Saccharomyces cerevisiae S288C: one gene and its partners. Changing the gene in region 2 together with the main gene of any one other region gives a genetic interaction. Each region holds a gene or a part of one and is shown on either strand. Other genes may lie near its edges.

Region 1 (3,503 bases), on a different chromosome or scaffold from region 2:
AAATTGTTTTTAACTATTCTAATGAAGACACAATAAATAACGCATTGAAAAGATTAGGCGTTATATGGCGGATATTTTATCAAGAGGTATATTATGATTTAGCCGCTGTGTTATTACCGTTGGATCAGAGTATCAGAGAAGATGGTAATTCTACGGTTTTAAAGTCAGGCAATGAAAGTCGGACTCACATTAATGGTAATTATTCTATTGGGTTTCTTTTGCTTATGTGCTTTAGAGATTCAATAGTCTTACCTTGTTATGAAAACTTCGTAAATAGTAACGATGGTATCAGCAAAAGTTTTCAACTTTACATTTTCAATCAAGAAGAAGAAAGTAATGTCACAGAAACAGATAAATTGACATTACTGCAGTGTTTTGGCATATTGAGTACCATTCAAAGTAATGATAGAAATCAACGAATTATCGAAGAGTTATTAGCAGGCATTAGAATGAGTATATAGAAAGCATCTAACACTTTATTTCAATCTCCTATTTAATATCACAACAAAACTTTATTCCATCCTACACCAAGGTCTGTCATCGGCAATTTGATGCCTACAAAGTTTGGGTTCTAGCCCCAAACCAAGTAACGCAGCCAAAAAAACGCCAAAGGAATCAGCGATGGACACAGCACCCATGGCGAACTCTGTTTCATCAGGATCCTCTTGTTCGAGAATATTTAAGAATGTGTTAACATATGACGCACCACCAAGAAAACCCTCATAGAATATTAATATCATCACCGCCCAGGGCGAATGTGTGACATAAAACCATGATTGCAGTACCGTTATGCACAAATTCACACCTTGTAAAAACGCTAAGATGTATAAACTCCTCATTCTCATAAGATGTCCAAAGGATCTTGATATAAAGACACCTAATTGGTAGAGCGTTCCATAGGTTACGTATATATCTCTGTATTTATGGAAGAAAAATGGCATCGATTTACTTCTTTCATCACCATTAATCGGAAATAATAGGGTCGGAGCTACCGCTTGGTTTATTAAATATTCGAATAAGTAGACGGTGGTCAATGGAACCATGTATGGAAAAACCAATCTTCGAAGTCTCTTGACCGTTTGCAAAATGTGCTGTCTTGTAGAATACAGGGATTGCGAAGCGTTGGTATGTGTAAAGGCGACAGGAAAGGGCACCAACTGGTCATCCTCTGCTTCGTCAATTTGTTGAAGACTTTGGTAAGTCAGGTTGGTATCATTGGATTCTAATTTAAAATAAAACAAAAATGCAAATGGAAGGAGACTAAATACTAGTAAAGTTAGCTTCACTGGAACTTTAAAGATTGAAGTTAAGAACATATAAGATGCTCCGCCAATGATTCCTGCACCACCAGTACCTGACGACCATCCATTCAAAGAAATTTGTTTGTAATAGTGTGTTAGCTGTAGGAATGTCACTTCTCCAAATCCGGAAGATATAGATGCGAAAGATATTCCTAAAAGACAAACAAACAAGTTTTTAAAAGAAACTAAGAACATTCCTAAGCAACTCATCGTGATCAAAGACCATATTCTATAGCTGTACTTGATTCTATCAATAAAGAATGGGGAACACAATTTAATGGCGAGTGATGGGAATATATCTGCTAGCAATACTAGAGATTTAGGCAAGGTAGGACCCACGATATCAACAGCTGCTGAAAGTATTACCACATAAAGTACATTATTGATCAAACCAAAGAGCCAAAAGTAGCAATATATCTGATGAGATTTGTCACTCATTTATATTTACTTGCGCTATATCTTCATATGTGTTTAAGTACTCTATAAATACACTGTTCAAAACATTACTAAATGTTCATATTGTCTATTTTTCATTAAGGGTTCACTTTTTCTTGTAGTACGCGAAGAAAATATGGAATTATTCTGGAATATTGATGTTTATATTTACCACTTCTGCATAAAAATATACATGCTTTATAAAATCTATATATTGAGAAAAAGGAGTATAAAAAAAAATTTATCTTATAAGTAGTCCTTGAGTAGTTTTAATCTCTCTACGGCATTTTCTAGATAAGCATCATCTTTACAAACTGCAAACCTTAACAAATTCTCAGCAGCCTTTTCGTGCTCTTTGATATAGAATTCAGTTGGTGGAATGGCAACCACACCTAATTCATTGATCAACCAGTGAGAAATGCGAAAATCTTTTCCCTTATTCAGGATCTCCTCTGGGTAGGGATAGTCCTCGGGAATTTTCACTTTAGAGAAATCAACGAGGACAAAATATGTACCCTCTGGAGCTGTATATGGTAGTCCCAATTCATCAAAGATCGATGTGAAAATTTTGAATTTGTTGATATATTCCTGTCTCATTTTTTCAAAATACCCAATTTTTAAAGCGTCGTTAATAGAGTTTGCACAAGCTTCCTGTAGAGGGGATGGAGATGCAAAACAAATTCTTGTATGTGCCTTAGCTGCATAACTTAACAACTCTGCGTTCAAGGATAAGACCCAACCAATTCTCCAACCAGTAGCAGCAAACGATTTACCGGCAGAACCGACCGTTAAGGTTAGTTGCCCAATTTCTGGAGAGAGTGTGGCAATTCTAGTGAAAGAATCAGTGAAGTAAAGGTGTTCATAGACTTCATCAGATATAATCACAACGTTGTGCTTGACGCAAATGTTACCTAAAGTGGTTAATTCCTCGCGCGTGAAAACTTTACCAATTGGGTTGTGAGGGGTATTGATAATGACAGCTTTTGTCTTGGATGTAATCGCTTTTTCGAACTGCTCAAAGTCAATGGTCCATTCTTCACCTCTAGTATTCCTTTGATCCAATTCCTTTGGAGGATTTATGGGGACGTAAACAACTTTACCACCGCAAAGTTCGATATTTGGAATATATTGGTCAAAGAAAGGTTCAAAAACAATAACCTCGTCGCCAGCGTTCAAAAGCCCCATCAAGCAAGAAAGTATACCTTCATTGGCACCTGTTGTTACGGTAACATTTTCCGCTTTCAATTCTGTGTTATAAATAGGAGAATACAACTTAATCAAGGAATTAATTAATGAAGGTCGACCTCTAGTTGGAGAATATTGATTGACCATTGGAATGTCTAGGGCTTTCTGAGCCTCCTTAATGGCGAATTGAGGAGGGGAATATGAAAAAAAGCCTTGGCCTAAATTAATAAGTTCACGGCCTTGGTTTTTGGAGTTATTGGCAGCTTTTGCAGCGGCTTCATTGGTTAGCGACCAAACATCTTTGGCAGTGTTAGAAGTGAAATATTTGTTGGCAACAACTTTCGGTCTCGAAGTAGACATTAGGTTCGTAAATTGACGAATGAATCGTTGTTTCATTGAGAGCAAGTAACAATGGATTCTATACGCAATTATAGTAAATTGAACACTTTATATATATCTCTATCGTACCTTCCCCTTTTAAACATGACTGAATTTTGGTATCTTGATTGTCATAATGACAACAAAAAAGCCACAGTTCTACGTCACGTGCTAGACACGACATGCTACTGAAGAAATTGTTAT
Region 2 (3,415 bases):
TACTTGATTACTGTTTCCGTTAATTTGAACTTAATTTTTCTAAAGATGGAATTGAGATATTGGTGAATTTTGAGATAATTGTTGGGATTCCATTGTTAATAACAGTAGTAATATTAGGTATATAGAATATACTAGAAGTTCTCCTCGAGGGTATAGGAATCCTCAAAATAGAATCGATAAACGATAGTTGAATTCTATTCAAGCAGAAATGAATTTCAATCATTCGATAAAGTAGCTTGTATTTTGTGAATCACTTGCCATTCCACCATAAAATACTAGCATAAATGTTAACATGGAAAACCGGATTTCTAGGAAGCAAATAATTGTACTAAAATCACGGATACTAATAATTTCTACTTTACTGTTGCCCTTTTATTTTGTTATATTGTAACAAAATAAATCCGCCTTCTGCCGTGCCGATTTATATTCCTTTCATAAAGTCAGTGAATTATAGTAGTATATAAGATGCATATAATTAGTTATTTAATGCCGTAAAAATGAAAGATGGGGAGTATGTATTATCACCCATTATATCTCCTCAATAATAGAGTTTCCCTTGGGAGATCTGCTTAGGGACTCGTTGTATCTGTCAACTTCCTCATCCTCAACGTCTTCTAATAGGGGTGAAGCGTGTTTTTTTAGTGTATTACCAGACACAGAGAAATCCAAAGTCGTATCAGAATCACTGTTTATACTTTCATTATCACTTTCTGCTGAACCAGAATTGCTATTATTATTTTTATTGCTGGCCTCAATCTCAGAGATAGGCAATGATTTGGAATTTTGCAATTTTTTTTGCTGGGACCTCTTGGTTTTTTGCTTATTTATCAAAGATTCTTTCCTTGCCTTCAATCTGGCTTCCTTCTCTTTCTTTTGCCTTTCTTCATCTTCCTTGGCAGCTTTTTCCTGTTCTGATTTTCTGCTTTCCTCCTGCATCAATCTTTCTTCCTCTATCCATTTTTTTATTTGGTCTTCTTTGGTTAGTGGTTCTTTCGCTTTCTCCGCTTCTTCCTCCTTCAAAGATTCAGACATGTTAACATCATCGTGAGACTCGTCTATTTTGGATTCAATTATTGGCATCTTTGGTTCGTTGATGCCACCTTCGGAAATTTCTTCCTCATGCTTAACTAAACCAATCTTTAAAAGTGCATATTTTTCTCTCGAGCCATCATCTATGTTTTCAACTCCACAGCCAATAACAAAAACATCTTCAAACACTTGGTCTAGAGAGAATTCCTTAAAGATTTTATCCTTCTTACTCAATATGCTCAATTCATCACCTCTATGATTCAATTCTATTTCGTAGTCTTGGAAAAGATCCTTAGCAATTTTCTTTCCTATGGCTCTAAAATCCAGATCTTTCAATGCAGATCTCAATAGAGCATCTTCATCCGCTTCATCTTCAACATAATACTGGTTTCCAAAAAAATCTTGGACAACATGGTAAGTTGGTCTGTAATGGTTCTCCTTTAGCTCACCTAATTTCTCATTAACGTACTTTGAAAAAAGTTCATATGGAATCCGCTTAGACAAGCTTAATGTATAACCATTTGGTGTTTCAGCAAGTGCATACCTCAAAGGTTCTGAACAATTTGCATCGCTTTTTTTTGGAGCTCTTAGGTTAGCTTTTATTGCTTTCCTCCTTTTACATTCTGGATAATAGCTCACTGGAGAACTGCAATCAAAATAACGCGAATGTAGGGGCTGACTAAAAGATGGCAGCTGTTCAAAAACACATGGTGAATTGAATATGGAAAACATTTCTATATTGTAATGGGGTCTATTAGTTATTTTCTTTTGGTTGTTGTTATGATTGTAATACTGATATTTCTTTCAAGAAGAAGAAAATATATATAGAGCAATGAGAATACCTGTCAATGAGAAAAGATTGTTCTAATGCTTTTATATATGTAATGCAATAGATCTTCCATTTGTTTTGCCACTTTACTTCGCCAAGAACTGAAGGCTTCTATGAAATTCTTAATTCTTCCATCCTGGGCGGCTGTTAGCCCAACCCGACCTGGTTCGGAATATCGCCGAACAAGAAAACTGGATACAACTCTCGAGCTCCACCGAGTGTCGCAATTTTCCGGAACTTTCTAGAAAAAAAAGTGTCAGTAACTTTACAACCACAGACGGTGCGAAAGAAAAAAAGAAAAATACGGCTGAAATAGTGCTACATGACGATGCACAGTACATACACTACAGCATGCTAAAATAGCGAAAAACGCCCAAATATTCATTACCCTGTAAAGTAGTCCATAATGAAACATACGCTTCCCCTCCACGTCAAAAAACGGAGTATGCTACGCAGCCACTTTGGCCTTATGTTGTACAGCAAGATACCACAATTGTCACCCACAAGATCATTCTTTTCTGCATCCAAACCTTCCCCTCTTTTTATATATCTTCTTGCCGGGCAGCCCTTCCAAAAATTCCACCATTTAAATCTTTGGCATAAAGAAACCCTTTCCATATTTTTGAATAGTGGACCTTTTGGTCCGTCAATATATTTCCATTGAAATGGGCACCATTTTTGTCTGGGATCCCTAGGTCTTAATTGTTTATCGCCCCAAGCGCCTTTGAACGATAGCCATTCTAGTCCCATTTTAGTTTCTTCAGCGCCGCATGGTGTCATTTTTTCCCCCACAGTCACTGTATAGGCATAATAGTTTAAAGAAGGATCCCATAATGGCCCTCTATCAGTAAAGTCACTCAATGGCATAAAGAAAAACGGAACATCGTGCGCATGTTGACCGACTGATGCATAATGTGCATGTGTGCCTCTTGCACTAAATATTAAAGGCTTCTTAATAACCTCGTTTGTCAATTTACCGTCAACACGACGCAATCTTTTGATTTTCTCAATGGCTTCGAACTTATAGGCACTACCACCCCCATGCGCACTCATCCATAGATATTGTGGTTCTCCTTTATAGAATCGTACTAAAGAATGTTCCCAGTCCCCTACATGATTTCCCCATGGTCCGGAGCCCATAATATAAGGACCCCAATTGAAGGGGTAGAAATAAAACCAGAACGCGTCTACCCAACCATTTCCTTTGTCAACGACAAAAAGAACTGCTGGTGCTTTCTTTATGTGACCTGTACCATATTCTGGTTGTTCACCCAACAACCAGTCAGGGCCCTTATCAAAATCATCTAAACTTGTCATATATGTACCTTCACTGGATACTCGGCCCCACGTTCCGTTCTCTAACTCTACCGAATAATACTCTTGTAAGTCACTTAAGTCACGAAGGTGTTCATTGATAATTTTCTCCCCACTGTGGTCTCTCAACTGGAATCTTTTTACAAAATCCTTAACATCAGCTGGCCAGTACTTTTCTTCACTATATAAATGGAGCAGAGGGCTATTATCGATGACATATTGCGGTACATTGCCCCTTTGTTT
Region 3 (2,895 bases), on a different chromosome or scaffold from region 2:
GATTCTCTTTTATTGATTCCTGTATCTTTTGAGGAGAACTTCTAGTATATGTCTAATGTCGTTTTACTAGAAATGGGACCCCTGAAAATCGTCAGCAACTTTCAACTGAATCTGAGAATGATGCTCAAGTCGTCATTTTATCTTGCAGAAGCTAAGTGCAGGAGTTGATAATACAGCAGAATTAAAAGTGACAACGCAAGAAACAAAAACAAATGCAATCTCAATATTATGTGAAATTGATGATTTCGTAGCGAATCATGCGCACTGTGGGAGAAGCCTGGGTATAATTATGTATGCTAATACTGTTACGTTTATCTGAGGTTTGTGTGAATTTTGTGATAATTATCGGGATTCCATTGTTGATAGAGGCTTCAATACTATGTATACAGAACATACTAGAACTTCTCCTCAAGGGTATAGGGATCCTCAAATTTAATCGGTATTTGCATACAATAATATTACGATTATTTTTCCTATCGTTTTATATGCTTCATTTTCCCATTACATTATCAATTCTTGCATTTCAGCTTCCATTAAACTTGCTAACTCTTTCTCAAGCTTCATTTCATCTTCCTAGATCTCATATGATACTATACCAGCAGCAAGAATGCTACTAAATGGATGATATTCTAGAGTTTCATTTCATCATCTACACGAAGGGATGGGGGCATCTGAAGTATTTGAAACGTTGCTATGATTTCATAATTTATGCAGGTTTAACACAGATTACAGGTCTCTTGGCCCAGTTGGTTAAGGCACCGTGCTAATAACGCGGGGATCAGCGGTTCGATCCCGCTAGAGACCAATTTTTTTGAAAATCGTAAAAAGGCCCAAAAGGGAGAGCACAGCACGTTCTGCTTAAAAAAATAAAAAATGATGTCTTCAATAAAACATCTTAAGGACCAGTTTGTAGATCTGCGAAGTTGTTGACTAGATAAATTATAATAGCAAACAAACAAATAGGACAATGTCAGCGGAGAACATTAGTACTGGCTCGCCGACGGGCAAGCAGCCATCCTCTGAAGTTAATCTTGGCGAAAGAGAAGCTGGAACAAAAAATGAGAGGATGATGCGCCAAACCAAACTTCTGAAGGATACATTAGACTTGTTGTGGAATAAAACCTTAGAGCAGCAAGAGGTGTGTGAGCAACTAAAGCAAGAAAATGATTATCTAGAAGATTACATTGGCAATTTGATGAGATCCAGTAATGTGTTGGAAAAATAACTTTTCAACGTAGGTTTCTGTTTTAAATAGGTAGATCAGTCAAACGGATGCGTCGCATAAATGGCTGATAAATTTTTCCACTACTCGTTTTCTCTTTTTCTGAGTTTCTATATTTTGCGCCTGTTTTACAAAGAAACCAGTATGGTTTGATCCCATGGGCGATGCCACAAAGAAGCTATAGAGAAAAAATGTTAAAATATTCGAAAAAGCTTCGAAAGATTTTATTGCGGTCACTCATGATCATAAAAAAAACCCTTCTCGCATTTGTAACATTGTATTTTAGTTTCTACTTCTTGTAGCAGGCCCTGAAGTATAGATTCTCAGACACAGTGACAAAATGGATGTCGATGAGAGGTTGCATCAAGATGAAAATCAAACCCACCCTTTTTCGCAAAAGAAGTCAAGCAGTTTCTTGATAAAGGAAAAAGCTGCTACAAAATCCAAGGATCTTGAACATATAAGGCTTCGTGACCTAAATTTCAATCATAGAAAAAAGCTAGATGACAAAAAATTGGCAAAGCAAATCCCAGTTAAGGCAAATTTCAAGAAGCCTAACGAAATTGAAGCTCGCGCTAACCTAAATTCAAATGAATTAACAGATATCAACCTTGACTATATACCGGATTCCCCATCTATAGAGAAAATATCAGGGCCTGAGGATTCTATTGTTGTAACGCCAAGAAATATCATACATTTACAATCTGATTCAGATATTATTCTCGAGGAATGCGAGCATAATTATGACTGTAGCCCTTTTTACCGTCTGTTCAACTACGAAAATAGAATTGAGCCCGATGACTACGAGGCTATTATAAACGCTATAATAACTGACGAAATTGCTGGCACATATCCGGTTTTCGAACGGGAATTAGAGTACCAAGAACTGAAAAGTCTTGTCAGAAAGCGAGATTATATTATGTATTATTTCTTGTCAAGGGATTATCGGGGGTTTTTTCAGTTGAAAGAGGAACGTACTTTATTTTATAGGTACCCTTCAATTGCGTACACTAGCCCGTTGAGGTATCTGGATAATGGATCTGAAACCGAGCAGTTTACCGGGGATGATGATGAGGAGCTCCAATCATTTGATTTTGAAAACACATCATCTGTGAGGACTTTAGATAGTAATATATGGCGTTAGGTAATGCTCAATTTTATATACGCATATGCACCATAGTAATTTAATATTTTTTTTCCGAATTACAACAATTATATTATAATATTCCTTTCTTTTGGAGCTGCTAAAACAAAGAATCATAACAAGATATTAATAATATTAGTAACACAAAGTAAAAGAAAAGTTTAATAAAGGAGCAATGTCATCTTCATTAAAAAAGTATACAAAAACTAGTCACTTGAATCGGTAATACCTTTTTCACCAATTACGTAGACACATTCTTTTTCAGGCATATCTGGGGAATCTTGTAACTTGGCAACTCTTTCGTCACCACGCCCTTTTCTCAACAAAATCCTTGTTGCTGACGCATGTGCCAGAACGTGCCCTCCAATTGGTTTCCTACCATCTGCCGAGGCAAATAATGCAGAAGCACCTGGGTCTGATTGAACTTGGTTTGTCAGAAATACTGCAACATTAAATTCCTCTGCCAATCTATTCAATTTGAAAAGATGTTGATTTAGCTTTTGCTGTCTTTCGCTTAGTTCACCTCTAC
Region 4 (2,617 bases), on a different chromosome or scaffold from region 2:
AATTTAGCCTTAAAAGAAACTCTTCCCGTATATTTCATTACTTGTCTGAGAAAGAAATACAAAAATTGGCATTTTTTTTCGATTGTAAAGACTATTCTCTCGTAGGTCTGTTGCTTCTCGGCTACACGAAATTCCAGAAGGATGATCTGGTTCAATGCACGGCTTGCTTTCATCGAGCATCCCTGAAGAAGTTAGAATATACAGAATTTAACGGACACGCTCTATGGTGTCGGTATTACAACAAAGAGTTGTTGCCCACAATGTTGCTGGAGTTAATCGGCAAGGAGGACAAACTAATAACGAAATTGGGCGTGGGAGAAAGACTAAATAAATTAGAGGCTGTTCTACAAACTTTATAAATTAGATGTAATACATTATCCAAATTCTCATATGCTTGTATATGCCCCCATGCTGATGCGCAGATTCTGTCACTCTCTCTTTAAATTACGTGCACATATGCATACGCAACAGTCACGTTATATTCATGCAAAAAACCGAAGCAACATCATTATTTCAGTTATTCTCTTCGACAAATTTCTTTACTTTTTCGACAACCTCTTCAATTTCCTTATCTAGCATAAGTACAATTAAACCATCGCTACTAATTTCGTATTTGATATGACCTTCGTTCGGTATACATATTTCGGCATCGAACTTATCAAACCAGGTATTTAATTCGTCCAGTTCGTCAACATTAAATGGAAGTATCAACTCGTCAACAAATTCATGCATTTTTCCCGGCTTACCTTTCAAAAATTTTTCATCTTCTTTATTTATCTTGGTGTCGTCTTCTAGTAAGACGAGCATCCTATAAGTATTACTCTTGGACATTTCGTTTTTCTCTTTCGTCTTAGTGTAGTACGAGATAGAATTCAACCGCAAGGTAGCCTTGCTGTATTGGACAGATCATTCGAATTTGTTCCAAATAGGATGAGATGAGGTCGGCTTTTCTTCATTCTCGCTAGAAAATTTAAAAAAAAAGAAAAAAATAATTACATAAATATATATTTATATGTATATACTGTAGTCCTTCCTTGCATGAAAAGACGACGTTTTTCGTGATAATAAGAAGTTTGACACTAAAAGGGCATCCTTACAATACTTGAAATATGTGGCCTTATATAGGTATCTATCAATCTTGTAAACAGTTATGAGTTAAATGTCTGGAATTAAGATTGTGCCATCAGAATCATTTTTGTCCATCATTCCCAAGGCAGAATCACCATTGAAGGCTATATCTCCAGTGCCCACCTGCTCCATGTATAAGGTATGATTGACTAAATTCAAGTAGGAGTACATGAAGTTACTTAGCAATACTTGTTGTCTTAATTCCCTCCCGGGATCGCTAAGCTTCAGATGGCTGAGTCTGTAAATAGCCCTTTCAACATTAATTCCTAGACGATGGTCAAACATAATCACTGTAGAGTTGGTTATCATTGGTAATGGGAATCCAAAAGCACTGTCTGTGAATTTTATTGGAGCGTTTGAGTAATCTGGTTTAACGACATCTTCAAATGTCAATTTTCTTGGAGGCAAAGTTGAGATTTGAGGGGCAGTAGGTGAAGTGTTGTCTTCTCTCTCTGCTCCTATATCCTCTTCTAGTCCAGCTGTCGTATCTCTACTGATACTAGAGTGCACTTCGACGTCGTAGTTTACATCACCACCACTAATATCAAATGAATCGTCGCCATCTAACTCGCTTATAGTTTCCACCACAAATTCAGAACTGTGGCTAGTATGGCTGTCAGGAAGAAGGGTGGAAGCATTTGAACTTCTCACTTCTGGTTCAATGACGCTTGCTGTATCTATATCTTCGGTGGTAATTGTTTTGGTGGGGGATGAAGGGCGTTCAACTTCCGCTTCTTGGGGCTTTTTCTTGGGACTTTTCCTGAATTTTGATAAACTCGAATGCGAAGCCTTCTTTTTCAGTTCTTTTTTAACACTTTTTTTGATTACTTTCACATCTGATTTGCAGGTACCATTATGTTGTTTTCTTTTGAATAATTTGGCAAGCCTTTTCTCCAAGGAATTTTTCTTATGTGTACTGGCTTGGGTGTCAGTAGGCAGTTCTACCTTTTTCTCCACGACTGCCGGTGCAGTAGGCTTAGATGGCTGGGATTCAGATGAAGAAACGACTGAAGGAGTGATTACCACGGATTTTGCTTCTTCAGAATGTATCTGGAAAATTGGCGAATGTCTATTTTTGGAATGGTTTATTCTTTCAGAGGCACGTTTGGTAGATTTCGCTCTCCTCGATACACTCAAGTTAACAAAGTCAGCTTTTTCATTGTCCACACATTCTTCATCGTCTTCATCATCTGTAAGCTGTTGATAAGTTTGTTCATTAGCGTTCAAACTTCCATTGCTAGAATTCAACCATGACCAGCCATGATTTGCTTCGCTGTTATTGGTATTTGATTTTTCACTCGAGCTAACGTGCTGATCCAATTTTTCAGAAATCATCGAACCAGTGTTATGCGGCTTTATTAAAACGCTGTTGTTAGAACTATCTGTAGATAAAAGACTGCTCTCTTGAGAAATAGATGCATGTGTCAAATCTTCTTCATCCGAATAGTAGTTGGTGCTATCAACGTATTTCTCATTTTCGGTACTCCAA

The links.
Region 1: mutations in BTN2 (region 2) and YHC3 are lethal when combined (synthetic lethality), as found in Saccharomyces cerevisiae (2 studies listed by BioGRID, with this or other methods).
Region 3: mutations in BTN2 (region 2) and ISC10 together harm fitness more than expected from each alone (negative genetic interaction), as found in Saccharomyces cerevisiae (one large-scale study listed by BioGRID).
Region 4: mutations in BTN2 (region 2) and YML108W together harm fitness more than expected from each alone (negative genetic interaction), as found in Saccharomyces cerevisiae (one large-scale study listed by BioGRID).

Annotation. Positions count from the first base shown.
Region 1 is NC_001142.9:323,200-326,702, reverse strand, and holds YHC3 (amino acid transporter YHC3), read right to left. Parts: upstream 1,740-3,503; coding exon 513-1,739; downstream 1-512. Other genes in the region: BIT61 (Bit61p), read left to right, coding at 1-461; BNA3 (kynurenine--oxoglutarate transaminase), read right to left, coding at 1,983-3,317. UniProt on the Saccharomyces cerevisiae protein: Plays a role in vacuolar arginine transport. Involved in pH homeostasis. May be involved in ion homeostasis together with IST2. Not necessary for mitochondrial function or ATP synthase degradation.
Region 2 is NC_001139.9:770,800-774,214, reverse strand, and holds BTN2 (Btn2p), read right to left. Parts: upstream 1,762-3,415; coding exon 529-1,761; downstream 1-528. Other genes in the region: VPS62 (Vps62p), read right to left, coding at 2,243-3,415. UniProt on the Saccharomyces cerevisiae protein: V-SNARE binding protein that facilitates specific protein retrieval from a late endosome to the Golgi. Modulates the rate of arginine uptake. Involved in pH homeostasis. Required for the correct localization of IST2.
Region 3 is NC_001137.3:549,195-552,089, reverse strand, and holds ISC10 (Isc10p), read left to right. Parts: upstream 1-1,562; coding exon 1,563-2,366; downstream 2,367-2,895. Other genes in the region: YER181C (uncharacterized protein), read left to right, coding at 294-617; SLO1 (Slo1p), read left to right, coding at 968-1,225; recombinase DMC1, read right to left, coding at 2,573-2,895. UniProt on the Saccharomyces cerevisiae protein: Indispensable for spore formation.
Region 4 is NC_001145.3:53,007-55,623, reverse strand, and holds YML108W (uncharacterized protein), read right to left. Parts: upstream 832-2,617; coding exon 514-831; downstream 1-513. Other genes in the region: PML39 (Pml39p), read left to right, coding at 1-359; ZDS2 (Zds2p), read right to left, coding at 1,156-2,617.